2 linked regions of the Macaca fascicularis genome follow. The protein of the gene in region 1 purifies or fractionates together with the protein of each later gene. This does not show direct contact. Links are inferred from orthologs where the notes say so. Each region holds a gene or a part of one and is shown in the gene's direction. Other genes may lie near its edges.

Evidence for each region.
Region 2: the proteins of USP49 (region 1) and CETN3 purify together in Homo sapiens (affinity purification with mass spectrometry; 4 studies listed by BioGRID and IntAct, with this or other methods). This does not show direct contact. The link is inferred for Macaca fascicularis from reciprocal best matches to the Homo sapiens genes USP49 and CETN3.

The regions. Positions count from the first base shown.
Region 1 is NC_088378.1:129,763,782-129,774,091, forward strand, and holds part of USP49 (ubiquitin carboxyl-terminal hydrolase 49), read left to right. Parts: intron 1-358; 5' UTR 359-441; coding exon 442-1,797; intron 1,798-3,406; coding exon 3,407-3,611; intron 3,612-7,409; coding exon 7,410-7,518; intron 7,519-8,419; coding exon 8,420-8,625; coding exon of another isoform or gene 8,626-8,723; exon of another isoform or gene 8,724-8,906; intron 8,907-10,310. UniProt on the Homo sapiens protein: Deubiquitinase that plays a role in several cellular processes including transcriptional regulation, cell cycle progression or innate immunity.
Region 2 is NC_088380.1:94,402,615-94,413,024, reverse strand, and holds the start of CETN3 (centrin-3), read left to right. Parts: upstream 1-4,611; 5' UTR 4,612-4,737; coding exon 4,738-4,754; intron 4,755-6,577; coding exon 6,578-6,713; intron 6,714-8,620; coding exon 8,621-8,735; intron 8,736-10,410. UniProt on the Homo sapiens protein: Plays a fundamental role in microtubule-organizing center structure and function. As a component of the TREX-2 complex, involved in the export of mRNAs to the cytoplasm through the nuclear pores.

The DNA.
Region 1 (10,310 bases):
CCTTTGTCATGTCTCATAAAAATTATACTTTATACTGGTGAGGACTTTCTTTTTCTTATTTTTATCTTATATCCTCTTATCTCTGCTTGAAAAATATTGCAATCGACCTAAAATTGACATTTTTATTTGAGGCTCTTCATCTCTCCCACTGGTATGTGAAACACCATAAAGTTTCAAATTTGTGCTAACCCTTCCGTAAGATTCTTCCTTTTTAAGTAATTTAACTGTCCTGTAATTCTCTGCTTTTATACCAAATGTGCCTTTTTTTAACTTTCAAAGGAACCAATTTGGAATTGAAAATGAATGAATCTAGAGTTGAAATACCCATTGCAAGTCTTTTTCTTTTCTTTTTTTTTAGGAAAACATTTTTCTAAAAGAGTTTTCTTTTTCTTTTTGGGGGACTGTCGTGACAGGCTGAGAGAGTGGCGACTTCTATAAGACATGGATAGATGCAAACATGTAGGGCGGTTACGGCTCGCCCAGGACCACTCCATCCTGAACCCTCAGAAGTGGTGCTGCTTAGAGTGCGCCACCACCGAGTCGGTGTGGGCCTGCCTCAAGTGCTCCCACGTGGCTTGCGGCCGCTACATTGAGGACCACGCCCTGAAACACTTTGAAGAGACTGGACACCCGCTAGCCATGGAAGTCCGGGATCTCTACGTGTTCTGTTACCTGTGCAAGGACTACGTGCTCAATGATAACCCAGAGGGCGACCTGAAGCTGCTAAGAAGCTCCCTCCTGGCGGTCCGGGGCCAGAAGCAGGACACGCTGGTGAGACGCGGGCGGACGCTGCGGTCCACGGCTTCGGGTGAGGACGTGGTCCCGCCGCAGCGCGCTCCTCAGGGACAGCCGCAGATGCTCACCGCTCTGTGGTACCGGCGCCAGCGCCTGCTGGCCAGGACGCTGCGGCTGTGGTTCGAGAAGAGCTCCCGGGGCCAGGCGAAGCTGGAGCAGCGGCGGCAGGAGGAGGCGCTGGAGCGCAAGAAGGAGGAAGCGCGGAGGCGGCGGCGCGAGGTGAAACGGCGGCTGCTGGAGGAGCTGGCCAGCGCCCCTCCGCGTAAGAGTGCACGGCTGCTCCTGCACACGCCTAGCGACGCGGGCCCGGCCGCCTCGCGCCCCACCACCCTCCCTACCTCACGCAGAGCGCCCGCCGCCACGCTCAAGCTGCGTCGCCAGCCTGCCGTGGCCCCGGGCGTCACGGGCCTGCGCAACCTGGGCAACACCTGCTACATGAACTCCATCCTCCAGGTGCTCAGCCACCTCCAGAAGTTCCGAGAATGTTTCCTCAACCTTGACCCTTCCAAAACGGAACATCTGTTTCCCAAAGCCACCAACGGGAAGACTCAGCTTTCTGGCAAGCCAACCAACAGCTCAGCCACAGAGCTGTCCTTGAGGAGTGACAGGGCCGAGGCATGCGAGCGGGAGGGCTTCTGCTGGAACGGCGGGGCCTCCATTAGTCGGAGCCTGGAGCTCATCCAGAACAAGGAGCCAAGCTCGAAGCACATTTCCCTCTGCCGTGAACTGCACACCCTCTTCCGAGTCATGTGGTCCGGGAAGTGGGCCCTAGTGTCGCCCTTCGCCATGCTCCACTCAGTGTGGAGCCTAATCCCTGCCTTCCGCGGCTACGACCAACAGGACGCGCAGGAATTTCTCTGTGAGCTGCTGCACAAGGTGCAGCAGGAACTCGAGTCTGAGGGCACCACACGCCGGATCCTCATCCCTTTCTCCCAGAGGAAGCTCACCAAACAGGTGTTAAAGGTGGTGAATACCATATTTCATGGGCAGCTGCTCAGTCAGGTATGTGTGTGCCTACCATGACAATGAGAGGCTTGTATGTTAGTTTGGGCTTCCTGTGAGTGCCTTCCCCTGGTTATTGGGCTAATAAGAGTAGCCAACATTTGCTGTGATTATGCATTTTTGAGGGTGGCCATTGTACCTTTTATTCTACTGTACATTATGATGGCTTTTTGGGGAAACTTGCCTAGTGTCTTTCCGGCCAGATTTTTAGTTTAACTTGCCACATTGCTTAATTTTCAGTGAATATCTTTAACTGTTATTGAAGATATGGGTAATATAATATTCTCATTGTTATAATTAAGTACTCATTGTTGGAGTGCCATCCTTTGATCAATTTTAGGGAACAGATTTTGCCTGTAACTCTGGTTCCATAATAGTTTGAAAGAGCTGTCTCCCTTCTTTACATACAAGGAAGGAAGATAGCTAGGAGCATGCTAAAGACCAATGCAAGCCTCCTTCCTGTTCCCCATTACATTTCCTGGATCTTTAGCCATGTAACCTAAGCAAAGATTCTGAGATAAGGCCTTATGAGAATATGCAGAAAGAGTATTCTTATAGTTTGAAAAAAAAAAGACGGGCGCGGTGGCTCACGCCTGTAATCCCAGCACTTCAGGAGGCCAAGGGGGGTGGATCACCTGAGGTCAGGAGTTAGAGACCAGCCTGGCCAACATGGTGAAACCCCGTCTCTACTAAAAATACAAAATTAGCCGGGCGTGGTGGTGCATGCCTGTAATCCCGGCCACTTGGGAGGCTGAGGCAGGAGAATTGCTTGAACCCAGGAGGCGGAGGTTGCAGTGAGCCGAGATCGCGCCATTGCACTCCAGCCTGGGTGATAGATGGAGACTTTGTCTCAAAAAAAAAAAACCAAAAAACAAAAAACGTGTTGGGGGGCGGATTGGTGGGCAACTTAAGAGATTCAGGTAAAACCTCTACACTGTGCTTGTGTCTTGGTTTTTAGGGTTTTGAAAGAATGATGAATGGTATGGAAAGGGAAAATTTAATTAGGTTTTTGTTTTTGAGCATGTAAAAGGGGAGTATTTATTAGCACTTCTTCTGTCTCCCCTCCCCTTAGGAAGGTGCACCTGGGAAGGTTATAATGGGAATGGAGGTCTAATCACAGCATTTTGAGGCTGTGCAGACAGAGGGGTTCAGTGTAGGGCTTCTGCAAGTAACAAAGGCAAAAAGAGAGGTGTGCTGGGCTCTATGGAAGGTCTAAAGTCAAGAGGAGGAATTACAGAGTGAGGGAAGTAGGCAGGGACCTGCAGATTCTCTATATCAGACTGATCCCTTGAGAGACTGCATAATAACTTGCAGTCTGTGCTACTGTACTGTTGAATGTTAGAGCATATTTTGGGAGAGGAGAAAGGCGGGTTGGTATAGTCTCTATGCAGTATGGTTTTTAAATTCCAGCTAGCATCCCATAGTTAGAAATGTACATCAGAAGTAATATACTCTAATTCTTTTAAAATTATGTTTATTATTTTAATATTACTATTTTTTGAAAATTATACACTTAGTTTTGATAAAGTGTGTCTTTTATGAAGCAAGTAAAACTGTACGCAGGAAGCATGGAAGTTACATAATCTGTAAATCAATCTTTTCATTCTAGGTCACATGTATATCATGCAATTACAAATCTAATACCATTGAGCCCTTTTGGGACCTATCCCTGGAATTCCCTGAACGCTATCACTGCATAGAAAAGGGGTTTGTCCCTTTGAATCAGACAGAGTGCTTGCTCACTGAGATGCTGGCCAAGTTCACAGAGACAGAGGCCCTGGAAGGAAGAATCTACGCTTGTGACCAGTGTAACAGTGAGTGCTGTGTGGAGGAGGGGGCGTAGTGGGGAAGTATAACTGGAATATCAGTTTAACGTGCTGCTTTGTCCTCTTTAGTCAAAAGTAACACTAATGATATTGAATGGTTCTAAAGCATCTTTTAAAGATCTCTTCCTCCCATTTTTCTAAAAATCAAAATACATGGACTTGTTTTAATTATGTATTAAAAAACAAAACAAGGCTGGGCGTGGTGGCTCGTGTCTGTAATCCCAGAACTTTGGGAGGCTGAGGCAGGCGGATCACTTGAGGTCAGGAGTTTGAGACCAGCCTGACCAACATGGTGAAACCCCGTCTCTACTAAAAATACAAAAATTAGCTGGGCGTGGTGGCAGGTGCCTGTAATCCCAGCTACTCGGGAAGCTGAGGCAGGAGAATTGGTTGAACCCGGGAAGTGGAGGCTGCAGTGAGCCGAGATCACGCCATTGCACTCTAGCCTGGGCAACAGAGTGAGACTCTGTTTCAAAAAACAACAACAACAATAACAAAAAATGAAACAAAGACCTAGGAGTTGATTGACCTCCTGATTGACATTAGTTGTCATCTTGGAAGGGATTTTAAAGTGTGGCTCCTGAAATGGGGACTCTGGAATGTTAGTACTTAGCTTATTAGTGCTATGGGGCTGCTGCGTAAATTAATGAATGTAGAGTCCAACAGTTCTTACTTAATCTAAACCCAGATGGAATAGCCTTTCTGAGGGATGCGATATCAGAAAAGCATGCTTTTGTAATGAACTGGCAGACTTAATGTCTGTCAAAAGTGATGCTAAAGATTGGTACAGTGGAACCAAGAAAGTAAGTCTTAAGGTACATTGCTCAGTGGCAGCTTCATGAAATATTTTCTGCATTTTTTTTATTCTTCACATGCCTGAAAAGTTCACATTTCAGAGAGGGTCATAAGGAAGTATTTCTGTGTTGTCTGTAATTTTAAAATGGAACTCTTTACATATGGTTACAGAGGCGTGTTATACAGGGCCCTTCCGTCTTGCCACACTAACACTTAATGCTTCTGCTAACCCAGTATGGACAGACGAAATGCAGAGCAAATATGTGGATGCTTATGTTTGAGGGTTGTGGCATATATAGATTTGGAAACTAAAAGTATAAAGTTAATGGATTGTACAGAGACCTAGAAATCCATTTTCAGTCACATAATAGTTTAGATTACCAGTTTTGAAGAAAAAAAAAATGTTAGGCCAGGTGCAGTGGCTTATGCCTGTAATCCCAGCACTTTGGGAGGCCCTAAGGTGGGCGCCATTGCACTCCAGCCTGGGCGACAGAGCCAGATGCTGTCTCAAAAAAAAAAAAAAAAAAAGCTAAATTGTGGGAAACCTGTTCCACTCTTTGAAGAATCAGAACAAAAATCAAAAGTCAGGCTTGAGGCCAGGTGCAGTGGCTCATACCTGTAATCCCAACACTTTGGGAGGCCAAGGCAGGAGGATTGCCTGAAGCCAGGAGTTTGAGACCAGCCTGAGTAGCACAGCAAGACCTCTTTTAGGAAAAAAAGAAAAAAAAAAAAACAACCCACAAAGTTATGCTCGATATCATTTTGCCATTTCAAAAGAAAATTTGAAATTTTATACCTGGCTAACTGTAGACTCACCTATCCTGTTCCATTTTGAGATACAGAGTCAGGTGAATCAAATTGTTTCATTAGAGTAATATTAAAAAAAAACAAAAACCAAAAAAACCCAATGATTCCTGAAGCCTTTTACTTGTAATGAACAAAAGAATATTAACAGCTTTAACTCCATCATTTTTGGATATGATAGATTAGGCAAGAAATAACTTTGGTTTATCTTTACAAGAAAGGATTGTTCTTTGGTTGTCAGATGTGCCAATTTATCAGGATTTCTCTAGGCAAGTGCAAATAATGCCAGAGAAGGAAACCTATGGTGAGGAGATGAGATGCATTGATCTGTTGCCTGTGAAGTTTCAAAACTGTCAGTCTTCTACCTGTCTTCCTGGACAGCTTAATGAAATGGAGACAGAACTGATCAATCTCAATTGAATCAGTAATTTATTTTTCTTTGTGAATTTCATTTTAGGGAAACAAAGCCTGACTCTATATTGTCTTCATCTTAGCTCACATACTCCCTCTGCTGAGGGTGGTAGTCACTGCCAGGGTTCCTAGCCAGAGCTGCAGTAATTTTCAAAAAAATGGTGAATAGGAATATAAAATAAGGCCAAGCCCCTCTTTGAATTCCATTTCTGTTCATGCCAGCACATATTGTGACTACACACCCTGGTAAAAGCTTCTCCTATGGCACAACTCATTCTGATGCAGTCTATTATGAGAAGCTACACCTCCACATCCTATTGTCACAGAAAGCTCTGTGATACATCATCTGGCTGTGATTTGCTACCTTTCATGAGTAGTACAGACAGGACTGGGAATCAGATGCCCAGCTCTTCAGACACTGAGCCCATGATATCAACAGCTCAAGACAATTAGCAGAGACTGCCATAGAACACTAATTTTCTACTCTCATCCATTTACCAGTTTAATATAACAAAACAGCCATCAGTAAATGGTTACAGGAAAGGCTTCTGATAGAAACTAAGATAACTCTGTTTCCATTGTTTATTTGCTGAAATTTAGAAATGCATTTCCTAAAGGCTGGGCACAGTGGGCTCACACCCACAATCCCAACACTTTGGGAGGCCAAGGTGGGAGGACTGCTTGAGGCCAGCAGTTCAAGAAATGCATTTCCCCCACATTTAGAAACAAAATTAGAGACTGATCACTAGTTCTGCTTTGGAGTAGATGAATTTAGCCACCTGTCAGCTTTGTCCTTGTATGTCCAGCAATGTGCTTTTATCTAGGAAATATGTTTCAAAAACTAGGCACAGCATAAAAATATAGAACCAACAGTTTATTTTCTAAATGTTTGAATATGCCATAAGCAAATCATGCTAAAGAAAAATGTGTTTAAATACTCTATCATTTAGTAATCTTATCCTTTTTTTCCTAAGCCTGAAATATATGCATTATTCCCTATTTTACTGGTGAGGAAACGGAGGTTCAGAGTTTTGAGTAACTTATCCATTAGCACACAACTAGTTGTGAGCAGGAAGTAGAATTAGGCTTACCTAGTGCAAACAAAAAGCTTCTTAAAATCATATTGTGGGGTATCATAATTGAAGTTATAAGCCATTGTAAAGACATGGAGCCTTAACATATGCTTCTACTCTGTGTGCTTGCTGTTGCACGTTCCATTATATTCCATTATACGCAAAGTTCCTGATGGCAAAAATTGGAAAGATTTGAGTTGCTTGTAACAGTCGACCCAAATAACAGTGACTTAAAATGAGAGGTATTATTTTTCTGTTACATAAAACAAGTGTGAAGGACATTCAGGGCCAGCATGGTGGCTGCATGGTCATCATTGACCCAAGCTATTTCTGTCTTTCTGTTTTACTATCCTGTTGCAAGACTTCTGTCTTCAAAGTTACCTTTTGGTCCAGGAGGAATTCCAGTAGTTTCAGATAGTGGGAAGGCCAAAGGGATGCACCTTACAAGTGAGTCAGCCTTGTATAAGCAGAGTCCCATACAGTCATTCCTTTCATCTTAGCCAGAACTTCCATGGCCACACCATGCAGGCTTGTGAAGCCGGGAAATGCAGTCATAAAGGGGGTCACATTGCACTCCCCAAAAAATTGAGGTTCAGGTACTTAGAAATATGGAGAATGCATATTGAATGGCAAGTCACTGTCTCTGCCATAGCTAGAAAAAACTCTTCACAACCTATGTCTTATACCTTCCCAAACCACATAGGCAAACGACGAAAATCCAATCCCAAACCCCTTGTTCTGAGTGAAGCTAGAAAGCAGTTAATGATCTACAGACTACCTCAGGTTCTCCGGCTGCACCTTAAAAGATTCAGGTGAGCTTGCTGTGGGAGTCCTAGCTGGGTGAGAGCTGTGGGAATAGCTGCTCCAAAGGCTTTGGTGAGGGCAAATGTCTTCTATGGTGTTGGGAGGGGAAGCCTGTTCACTTGAGACCTTGTGTTTTCCATGGAGATTAAATCATTCACATCCACTAAGGCAAATTAATGTGGGAGCCCAGCAGGACTGGGCTTTTGCTGTCATGCGCCTGTGTAATTAATTATCCAGCCTGCACTGGGTATCTGTGCTTAAAGATTTTCTAGCCTGGCTTGGACTTATGTAGAGGTTCATCTTCAGGATGAAATATAAAATAATCTGGAAAAGAAGGGCAGGCAGGAAACTACAAAAAGACTGTTGCTTGAATTGCTTGTTTAGGGATCTCTAGGTTTAGAGTACTTCATGGAACATTCACAGCAAATAAATGGGCCAGGCGCAGTGGCTCATGACTGTAACCCTAGCACTTTGGGATGCCAAGGTAGGCAGACTGCTTGAGCTCAGGAGTTCGAGACCAGCCTGGGCAACATGGTAAAACCTTGTCTCTACAAAAAATACAAAAATTAGCCAGGCGTGGTGGTGTGCACCTATAGTCCCACCTACTTGGGAGGCTGAGGTGGGAGGATCACCTGAGCCTGGGAAGGTTGAGGCTGCAGTGAGCCTTTATTGATCACACCACTGCACTGCAGCCTGGGCAACAGAGTGAGACCCTGTCTGTAAATAAATAAATAAATAAATACATAAATAAATAAATAAATGTGAACATTGATTACCACCATTTTATTGATGGGAAGACCAAAACCAGAAGGTTTAATTTTCTCAGTTCCCTGTTTTATTAATACCTACCTCTACCTACAATTGTATATGCTGGTTTTTACTAGTAACAAGCTTATATCCATGTTCTAGGTGGTCTGGCCGTAACCATCGAGAGAAGATTGGGGTCCATGTCGTCTTTGACCAGGTATTAACCATGGAACCTTACTGCTGCAGGGACATGCTCTCCTCTCTTGACAAAGAGACCTTTGCCTATGATCTCTCCGCAGTGGTCATGCATCACGGGAAAGGGTTTGGCTCAGGACACTACACAGCCTATTGCTACAACACAGAGGGAGGTGCGTGCGCTTTACTCTGTGGGGTGGGGGACACGGAAAGGGGTTATTTGTCCACATTTTATTGTTTTCCTTTTATTTCCATCCCATGGATTACCTAGAGGGAAATTACATACATGAAAATCCAATGGCAAGAATTGTGAAAGTTGGGTCAGGCGCCGTGGCTCACACATGTAATCCCAGCACTTTGGGAGGCTGAGGTGGGTGGATCACCTGGGGTCAGGAGTTTGAGACCAGCCTGGCCAACATGGTTAAACCCTGTCTCTATTAAAACAGTACAAAAATTAGCCGGGAGTGGTGGCGGGCACTGGTAATCCCAGGTACTCAGGAGGCTGAGGCAGGAGAATCGCTTGAACCTGGGAGGCAGAGGTTGCAGTGAGCCAAGATTATGCCACTGCACTTCAGCCTGGGTGACAGAGCAAGACTCTTATCTCAAAAAGAAAAAAAGAATTATGAAAGTTGGATTCAAATTTTGGGTATATTACTAAGTAACAACGTATGGTTGTTCTAAGAATTAAAAGGAACTGACATGTAAAAGTGCTTAGAACAGGACCTAGGCCCTGTGCAATGGCTCACGCCTGTAATTCCAACACTTTGGGAGGCAGAGGCGGGAGGATTGCTTGAGGCCAAGGGTTCAAGACTAGCCTGGGCAACATAGTAAAAACTTACCCAGGCGTAATGGTGTGCACCTGTGGTCCTAGCTACTTGGGAGGCTGAGGTGGGAGAATTGCTCGAGCCCAGGAGTTTGAAGTTGCAATGAGCTGTGATTTCACCACTGCATTCTAGCCTGGGCAAGAGAGTGAGATCCTGACTCAAATAAATAAATAAAAAGAGCAGTTGCCTAGCACATAGTGCTTATTCAGTCACTGTTTGAGGATATTGTAGTATTATCAAAAATATTGGTTATTGATAATATTACTATTGTTGTGGTAATGCTACTTCTGCACACCCCAGTTTCCTTCTTGGTTATGCAGAAACAGTAGAACCTGTGTAACCTCAAGGAGATACTGTATAAATCTCACTAGCCGCAGCTTATAAAGCTGAGAACATTTACTGAGCACTTACTATGTTCTTACTACTTCCCCCGCCATGGGAAGTGTGGGGATGCAAGGGCCCCTCCAAAGGTGCTTTAGGTCCTCATCCTCCAGAGTGGAGTCTTCCAGCTACTGCACTGACTGATGGGCTGCAGATGTGTTTTCAGCTGTTCACTGTTCTTGAACTGCACAGCCCTTGGGGCAGCCAGAGCCTGTGAATAAATACTTTTGTTCCTTCTAAATTTTCCTTTATCACTCCCCTCTATTTCCATTTCTCCTCTCCTCCTCCTCTTCCTCCTCATCTTCCTCCTCATCTCCCCATTGCTTAGCCTGCAGTATTGCAGCTATCTTTCTAGAAGGCTCTAGTGGACAATAAAAAAGCCTGAAGAAAACAAAGATAAAAATTGCAGTCAGTCGGCCAGGCGTGGTGACTCATGCCTGTAATCCCAGCACTTTGGGAGGCCGAGGTGGGCGGATCACGAGGTCAGGAAATCGAGACCATCTTGACTAACATGGTGAAACCCGTCTCTACTAAAAATACAAAAAATTAGCCAGGTGTGGTGGCGGGCGCCTGTAGTCCCAGCTACTCGGGAGGCTGAGGCAGGAGAATGGCATGAACCCGGGAGGTGGAGCTTGCAGTGAGCCGAGATCCCG
Region 2 (10,410 bases), on another chromosome or scaffold:
AATAACCTTAATTACACCTACAAAGTTCTTTTTTCCATGCAAAGTAACATTAACAAATTTCAAGGATTAGGAGGACATGGACATTTTTGATGAGTCAGTCATTCTATGCCACACTCTTGTATTTTACATCTACCTTATTTTTGGATTTCATTCTTACTTTTCTGAAGTACATATTTCAGAAAGAGTATATGATAATTGAACTTTCTGAACTCTTTATTATGTACTCGCACTTTATTTTTTGTTCTGACAGGAAATAGAGTTCTAAGTTCAAAATAATTTTCAGTTACAATTTTAAAGGTATTATCTTTTGGTATCTAAAGTTTCTGATGAGAAATCTGATACTAGCTCAGTTCTTATTCTTTTATAAAAGGTCAGATTCTTGTGTCTGGAAGCTTTTAGGCCTTTTTATTTTTGATGCTCTGAAATGTCTTCTTTATGTGTCTAGGTGTGTTCTTTTACTATTATTTTGCTCAGTATTAAATGTGTTCTATCAATTTAGAGACCTGTATTTCAGTTCCTTGAAATATCTTTTCAATGTCTGATATTTTTCTCCTCCTCCTCTTGTTGTTCTCTTTCAGAAATTATTAGTCAAATAATGAATTAGTCTTCCATATTTTTTTCCAAAATTCTCCATGTTTTTGTTTGAATACTGCAGGTTCTGTGATATTTTTTCAATTAAATCATCTTGCCATTTTAATTTTTACATTCATATGTTTATTTTCAACAGACTTTTCTTATTATCTGATGTTCCTTTTTCAGAGTATTTTGTTCTCTAATATTTTCTTGAGTACTTCTTAGGAAGCTTATTATTATTAATTTCTTATTATTTTATTTTGGTTCCTTAGCTGACTCAGAGTCTTCCTGAAATAGTTTTTAGTTTCACCTTTCATGTTGTTGATTTTCACATCTCTGATGGTTTTTCATTCTTCATTCATTTTAAAGACTTGGGCCAGGTGCAGTGGCTCACACTTGTAATCCCAGCACTTCAGGAGGCCAAGACGCAAGGTGGGAGGCTGCTTGAGCCCAGGAGGTTGAGTGAGGTTGCAGTGAGCTATGATCTATGCCCATGTCACTGCACTACAGCCTGGGCAACAGAGAGAACCCCTGTCTCTAAAAAAGGAAAAAAAAAAAAAAGAGTGGAGTTCTAGATAGAGGTAGAGACAAAATACTGGGGAGAGGAATCTGGAGGAATGGAAGTACAGTGGTTTCCTAAAGAGGTTTTAAATTGGCATTTTGTATTTAGCCCCCTTCTCATTTCACCTTCTACTGTAAAAGAGAACTCCATTCCTGGAGTCTCTCTGGGACTTTGCCAGGCAGATCAACTCTCTGTGAAACATCAGTCACCTCCGGAAAAATTATGGGATGCCACTTCCGTGATCTGTTTCATTTGTCAACAAGTTTCCACATTTCTTTTGATCTTTCCAATAATTTTTGAAATACCTAGTCTGCTGATGGCCCCTCTCCAGGTCACTTCAGCTTAACAAATTTATTGGCTAGGCATGGGAACTAATTCCTGTAATCTCAACACTCTGGGAGCCTGAGGCTGGAGGATCACTTGAGACCAGGAGTTCTAGACCAACCTGGGCAACATAGCAACATAGTGTAAAATTAAAAAAAAATTAGCTGAGCATGATGGCATGCTTCTGTAGTCCTAACTTTTCAGGAGACTGAGGAGGGAGGATCCTTTAAGCCCAGTTCGAGGTTACAGTGAGCTATGCCACTGTACACCAGCGTGGGTGATAGAGGAACTCTTGCTTTATTACGGCTTTAGGAGGCAGACTAAACACTCATGTCTCTACCTTCTCAAAGCAGAAATTTTTATTTACATTTGCTGTCTCTGGAATTTCTGGTCTGATTACCATTGTACCAAATACATTTTACTGTCCCATAGAGGAATTTTTGTATTATTATTCTTTTTCACAGTTTAGTAAGCTATTTTTATGCAACTGTTGTTGGATCTTTGGAATAATTTTGTTCAAGAAAAATGAGAATTTTGATTGCATCGAATTTAGATTTAAATGCGTGTAATCACCTGTCTTATCTTTAGAAATAGATGATCCGACCCCAAATTTCAGCACAGCAGTTTTCCATCTAGAGATTTGTCTGACTCCTGTGAAGCAAGAAGTGGTTGTCACTAGTTCTCACTAAATATAATAAAAGTGATCCGTGTAAATTCCCTGTCACTCTTAAAAGGATACCCTATTGAAAACATGTTAAAATCTGTTTGCCCAAATTATTTGCTTATAAAACTCACTCTGAGACCAAAAGCATCTCACAAAATTCTAGTGTTTCAGGAATGAGGTTTGAGAAACACTGGTGTTTAAGTATTTTGCCGATCATATTTTAAAAAGTATTTTCTAAACCCACTTTATATCCTAGTAGAAAAAGTGTTGCCTATTATTCAGTGCCCTTTTGACACTGAGATGATTTCCTTAACACTATATTTAACACAGATTTATATTTTGAATTATCTTTGCACTTAACAAAAACAACAAAAAACTCAATTTGGTTATAGAGAAATGCCCCTTTAAGACAGTATCAAACTGATTTTGCTAACATCTAGGAATTTTGCACTTAAATTCACAAATGAACATCAAATATGAGTCAGGCACTGGGGATACAATGGTGAGCAACATGTATAGCCTTCATCATCACTAAGCTTACACTGAGTGACTTTAAATGTTCTTTTAGGATGTTAAATATTATGGCAGCTTCAAAAATTAAGCTAAGAAGCTCTCCATCATTTTCTATTACTTGAGTTTAAAGCACAAGATTTAGCTCTTAGGATTTTTACCCATAAATCTGAGTGGGCTGGAGGCTTTTTATTTGAGGGTACAGAAATTTGGCATCTTTTTTTCAGTCCTGTCTGTAGTTATTGACTTAATTCAGTTTTCCATCTTTTTTGAGTTATGTTTTCCTTGAAAAGTGACTATTTCATTTTCTATTAATATTTATTGGCAGTATAAAATTGTATAAAATATTTTAATAATTTTTAAACCTCCCTTTTGTTAAATTACTAACCTTACTAGTGGCACTATTCCTTTTCTTGTTACATTTCCTGTCTTTGAATTTCACTGGTATTGCCAAAAAGCAGCTTTATACCAGACTATGAGCACTTTATCAATTTGACCAGTTTCCTTTTAAAACGTTGTTCTCAAACTTTACTAATTTCCTCTTCCTAATTTCAATTATACAATTTTGTTCTTCATTTCTAACATCTTCAAATAAATGCCTGGTCTATTTTTATTATTTCTTATTTAAAATAATGTTCTCCTATAGTTTGGTCTGTGTCTTAAAATGTTAACATATAGTTTTTTTCAATATCACTATGTTCTAGTAATTACAATTTCTCTTTCCTTTTAGACTCAAAGGTGATTTATAAAGGTACTTTAAAATTTAAAATACGAACAAAATAAAAGTTCCGCTTTTGTTTTTTAGGGGTGCTATCCCTTAGCTAATTTTTAGCTTGTTCTATCATACTATCTTTACTTGTGCAAATTTAGCCCATCCTTGTAGGTCTAACGTTTATGCCACCTCTTTAGGAAGCCTATCTTGTGCTCTCTCCCTTCTCTAAAATTTTATATACATCCCTTAAACATATGTTTACATATTCTCCGCCTTCAACTCCCATTCTCAGGCTATTTTATTCCCGTTTATGAGATTTGCTGTTTAGCTCAGTATTTTGTGGGTTTTCAAAAGATTCCACTCAATTTACCGAGCACCTATGCACCAGACATTTTATTAGGTACAAGGAAAAGCGTTAAATAGATATAATCACGGCCTTCAAGAAATTGAACCTGGTAAGGGAGACGAATAAGTAGACATTCAAGTGAGCTTTAGGAGACTTGGTTTGGTAGTGAATACAGTCTCACGTGTATTAACAATTTACAGCACCGTAAAATAAGAGACAGAAGCCAACAAATCCGTTTCAAACAGTTCAAAGGAGGAAAAGGAGAGGGAAGGGCGGTTTAGATACAGCATCACCATAAATAGCCTGATAATCTAACCCTGTGATAATCCAAGTATAGTCACAGCACCTGCCTCAGAATCACTTGGAAGGCTTGTGAGGAATACAAACGCAGATTCATACCTACTGAAATTAGAATGGAGAAAGGGGCATTTAAGTCTGCATTTTAAACACATTCCCCAGGTACTGAAGCCATCCAAAGTTTTAGAACAGAGCACAGCCACGCTTCGCAGACCTTGTTCCTCAACTACTGCCTCCTTCTAGCCGGAGGGTGGCCTGCAGCGTGTCCCTTCCCTTCCCACCGTCCAAGTTATCCATCTAGTTTTCGAACGTCGGCCCACAGACCGCAGGACAATACGCGAGAGACTAGGAGCACCCACCACGCAAACCACCACACAGGGATCGGAGGCCGGACCCGCAAAGGATTCGGGGAAAAAGGCATCAGGCCAATCCGAAGGGCGAGAGCGGCCCTAGGAATGGAGGGGCGGGGTGGGTGGCGGGGGGGGGGGGGGGCGGGGAGAGAGAGGTTTTTTTTTTTTCTTGATTGACGTAAAGCGTACCCAATGAAAATAAAATTGGTAAAGCTTCCGCCATAATGGGCAGAACCATAGCGACATTTCAACCAATCCAGCTCAAAAGTGTCTATGTTGTGGGAGGTCCCTGAGGCCGCTGAGGTCGTTCGTGTCTGTTGAACGGTTGTGGGAGTCTTGCTGCTTTGGGTAGGGGGTTAAAATCGTTTCTTGAGAGGAACGACTCTATCCGAAGAGATAATGAGTTTAGCTCTGAGGTCGGTAATAAGGAGGCGGCAGTGCTCTCCACACCCCGGAGCGGGACCTAGGGAGGGTGTGTGTGGAAGGGAGGCCGTTTGGGGCCGTGGCGAGGCAGGGGATGCTGTTTGGGATGCGGGAAAGGAGCCTAGGGCAGCCTGTCTGGATCACTCACCCTCTGGGCTCTGGTGCCCTGCAGGGAACGAGACTTCCAGTGCATTTCTACTAAGGAGGTTATTTCTGTCAGCGCGTAGGGCTTTGGACTACCAAAAAAATGGGCTTAGTTGCGAGCGAGGGGGAGGGAATGAAATATCGCGAGGCTTCTACTCTGTTGCTCTGAGAGATCAGGCCGCGGAACATCCCTTCATTCAATTCGTATGCCTGGCCAGGGCCCCACCTCCGCTGCTCTGCTGCTGATGCAATCATCCACCTATAAATTTTGGAAATAACAAAAAACTCTTTGCTATTCTCCCAAGGTCCTGCTTTACGGTGTAATTAGAAACCCATTTTAGTGACTAATTGGCAAACTGTCTCTTGGATTTCCTGTTTCTTTCATTTCTTTACCTTTCAGTTCTAACCTCTAACCCTCTGTCTGTTACCCGCTCCCCCTACGTAGACGTTGTACCGTAAAACTATACATATACTTAGGACACTCTAAAAATGTTCCATGTTCTGCTAAGGGATAATCATGGTACCCTTGGATGGGGTCAGGGGTGGGTCGGTTCTGGACTTGGCCTCTAAAAGTCTCAGGAAGGAAAAGACTGACCCCAGGAATACCCAAGTTTGTGTCAAGTCAGGTCTCATGAAAGGAAGATCTTCCTCAGCTTTGTCATACTGCATCTACTGGTCACTTCCTAGCCTTTTTTTTTTTTTTTTTGTAGCGTTCAGAGACCAAAACGACTTTCAAATGCAGCTAGATACGTGTTTTAAATACAGTCAACTGGTTTTGACATGTTAATGTGTTACCAGATTGTGTGTTTCAAAACTTGTTCTTATACCAGTGTTGCGGCTCCATTGGAAAACTTGGAGCACATTTAGATGGGCAGCTCTTACGGAAAACATTTCTGGCTTTAAAGTAATTTTTGCTTTTTTCTTTAAGCGTTTCCAGAGTTTATGAGAAGTTTAACCTCCAGTTTACATCTTAAGTGAGATAAGACTTATGAAGCACAAATATTGTATACTTTTTTGACATCTAATATTTGTCATATGTTTAGACTCATTAATATTTTGGGTGATTTGTTAATATCAGTGGAGGAAATGACACATAAATTGCCAAACTGTTAGAAACGTGTAATCTAAAAACATTTTGAACCAACAGTCCCAAAATATAAGTTAATCCAGTTGTATTTTTTGTAGTAATTTTATGAACTTAATTATCAGAACTATCAAAAGTAAACCGATATATGGTGATTGTCAGTTACGAATTTTGGTTTCATTTGGAGATTTTTTGGTTTCTTTAACATTCTTGTAGAATAATGTGAGTGTTTTTGTTTTTTTTTTGGTTGGAGTTGGTTGGAGTTTCAGACATAAACGTAATGTTGCTTATTCACAGTTCTTGAATAAATAAAAAGTTAGGGAAAGTGGGAATAAATAAAAAGCTGGGAAAAGGAAAAGTTTGGTCCTCATTTCTTTTAATAATCTGTAACACTCTTTAGTTTTGGGAAGTTCATATTTATAGCAATTTAGACTATGGAATAAACAGGGCATTGACTCATAAAGGGAAAGTTTCCCTGTCTTTCTCCAAAGTACTTTCTTTTTTGAAATTTAGAAAATAATTATTGGCTAATTTCTGTTAGTAAAGAGAATTAAAGTGGACTAAGGGCTTTTTCTTTCCATTTCATAGAAGTGAGCTTGTAGTAGACAAAACAAAGAGGAAAAAAAGAAGAGAACTGTCTGAGGAACAGAAACAAGAAATTAAAGATGCTTTTGAACTATTTGATACAGACAAAGATGAAGCAATAGATTATCATGAATTAAAGGTAATGGTATACTTTAAAATACTTGTTTCTGTGTTAAAATGATTTGCATTTTGACAGTTGCTTTACATTACATTTCTAAGTAATTATTTTAACTAAATTGGTTTTGGAACTATGAAGGCATTTTAAGCATTCATAGTTAGATTCTATAATAATACTGAATAGAACTCCTAACACAGTTTTTAGAAAATCTTTTTCACGTGATAAAACGAATAGCATTTTAAATGTAACAATACATTCCTAGGGAAGGTGCTTATTTTTCACTGACATAATTAAAGGATTTCAAACTGGAATTTAAACTATTACCATATTCTTTTCACTGTTTTTTTTGTTTTTGTTTTTGTTTCTTGGTGACTCATACTGTTTTCAGATTGTGGGATTGTTGTCTTTTAATCTTATAATTTGTATTTGTTAGTAACATAGTCTCAATCCACTTTCTGTGGTACAGACAACTTCAGTGCTGTTTGATGTTGACACATGCTAGTAGGTAAAAATGTCAACTTTAAGACCTAGAATGTCAAGGTGTAGAGAGGGATTTGTAAATTATTATTTGTCAGGGTATAAGGAGAGATTTGGGTTTAGGGTTGAGTGGGACTTACTTTCAGCACAGTGGGAAAGATAGTATTTTGAGATTTTTAATAGCCTTAATGGATAGGTGAATGTAAGTGTTTATTTGATAGTTTTAATTTTTGTAATTTCTTAAGGGATTTTTAAGCATTAGAATTCCAAGTAGGGATACGAACTATGCAGTGACAGTATAGAATGTATAAAAACAATTAATAGGCCTGTAAGTCTAGCTTTCTCAATCTTGCAGTCCTCTTTAGCTCTCTTTTCCCACTGTTTTTTGTTTTTGTTTTTTGGTTTTGGTTACCCAGATTTGATCAATTCTTCCTTTATAGTGTCTCTTCCATTAGTAACCATTGACTGGTTTCAGACCTTATTTCATACCTGGAGCTTCCTAAATGGTTTGTCTACTTGTAGTTCACCTTGTATACTACTACCACTGAATTTAGATAGTTTAAAAAATCTTTCACCATTGCTTATAAATTGTTCGTTGCTCATAAGCCTTTACTATTAATAACTCCTCATTATATACTACTTAAAGTTCAGATTCCTTTGCTTTCTACTGAATGTTCTCTACACTTTTGCCACCAACTACTTTTTTCATTTGCTAACTGCTTTCTTCCTCCCAAACTCTTCTAATTCACGTGGAATTCACCTTCTAATCCAGGTGAGCAGTTTATCTCACCTGAACTCTTCTAATTCAGGTGAGGTAAACTGCTCTGTTCGTTGTCCTTCAAACCTATTGTTCATTTCAGTGTTTCTTTTAATACTAGTCATCCTTCCCAAATGCCCTACTGCTCCTCTTCATCTGTCCTTCAAGGAACAACTTGAATCTTTCCAAATAAGACTTACCTAGTCAGTAACATGTTTCCTTCCTTGTTACTAGTAACAAAGTCTCTTTTTTGTCTAAACTCAGGGTCCTTCGCCCTATTATTAACCTAATAACTAATCATGGAGATGCTGATGATAATTCTTATTTTAATGTTTTATCTCTTCTATCATATAACTTTAATATTTATGCTATGCCTTTTTCTCATTTTGGTTGTTATTCCCGTGATAACAAATAGCAGTCAAATTATCTGTGCAGTAAGTTAGTGCATTTTATATAGTAAACACTTGTTGGTTACTTTGTCATATAAAAATGCAATTTATAAATGAAAAAACTTATACATAATTTCAGTAGTGAAGAACAATTACACTGTCACTACTATTTTAAAGAGGTAAAACATGCAAAAAAGTTATATTTTACTAATGTGTTTTTATCTCTTAAGATGTAAAAACTTAATAATTAGAAATTCTTTTGTAAAGATTGCTTTATAATTTGCTTTTCCCTTTTAATCCAAAAGGTGGCAATGAGAGCCTTGGGGTTTGATGTAAAAAAAGCTGATGTACTGAAGATTCTTAAAGATTATGACAGAGAAGCCACAGGGAAAATCACCTTTGAAGATTTTAATGAAGTTGGTGTGTATTTTAATAGTCTTTGTAATCAGCAGCTGTTAGGAAATTGTCTGATTAATATGACTTTTTAAATTTTAAATTCTCTAGGTTATGGAATTTTCTTATAGAACACTGGTGTATAATGTGACTCTTACTCAGTTTTGTTTGGGTTATTTTACTTTTTTCATTTTCAAAGAAAAAATATGGCTTTGCTCTGAGATTTATAGTTTTGTCTTTTGTTTTGTTGTGAAGATTCTAGCCAAGGAACTACTGTGTAGCTTTTTATGGAAAGATGCTTTTCCAAGTTATTTGTATTTATATTATGTGATAAAACTTGAAGGGTGATCAAAAAATTATTTTTGCTCAGTAAAACAGAAAATTTGATATCCTGCTGTTTGGAAAATGTTTCCCAAGACCTTTCTGGTATGTGATTTTTGCTGGCTAAGTGGGAGAAGAGGGAACTGGTAGTAGTTGGTATCTTTGGCCCTAGATGAAATGCGTGACTTCAGGTTGACAAAGTTTATGAGAGGCTACATCCTCTGGATGACCTTGATCTTAGTGGATAAAGTCATCTGTTTAGAGGGTAGTAGTAAAGGAGGCAGTGGGCATACTGCAAGCAGGAGAAAACATCCTGGTACCACCAACTGAAGATAATGTGTCATAGGCTTAATATGGCTAAATTTTTGTGTAGTTGATTTTAGTGAATTATTTATAGCATACATAGAGCAGGCTTTTTCAAAATAGAAGAGTCTGGAAGGCAAGGGCGTTACTATTGTCTAGGATATTACCTACAAAATATATAAATATTCAGGTTTATTTCTATTTTTTTCCCCCTAAACCAATGGGTCACGATATAAGCACATCATATAAGTATTTTAAGATATTTGGAAACAAATTCTGTTATATACACAAACCCCTTCTTTTAAATATTCATCAAGAAGCAATATGGGAAGCAAAAAGAAATGGCAATTAGTATACGCAGAGAAAATTTAGATTCATGTCATTAGTTTTTTGAATCCAAACGCTCAAGTCAAAAGCAGTTGAGATGGAAAATAAATGATAAACCTAAAAGAAAAAATACAGCACAGAAGATACTCAACTTACGAACTAATATATGACTGTTTAGAGAGGCAACTTGTCTGTTGGGGACATTTTCCTTTTTTTCCTCTAATTTGTAGAATTTTTTATTTGAGGAGAAGGAGAGAGCCACCTTTTGTTCTCCCAGAATGGACACTCTCCTGAAGTTTATAATCGTAGTATTCCTAGTTTTACCTTAGATTGTTTATTTGTAGAAACAAGATGTTAGGATACAGTGGAAATGATACTATTAGGAAGGAGCTATAATCCAGGTATGTTTAGTACAGTATAGTGGTTTAGCACTTGGAACCAGATTCTGTTGGTTCATACCTTGGTTTTGCCACTTTATAGCTCTGGAACTTGGTCTTTTTAATACCCTGTGCCTCATTTTCAACTATAAGGTGGGGATCATTGTACTCTCTCATGAGATTCTTCTGAGGATTAAGTTAATAACATGTAAAGTACCTAGAAAAGGGCCTAGCATGTTGTAAGTGCTACTAAGCATTTGTTATTATTATTACTTTAAAAAATTGTCTCTGTTTCAGGGGCTCAAAATAATCATATATGCATCACTGGGACATAAAATAGACTCTGTGTATACTTTTTATTGACTTTTTTTCAT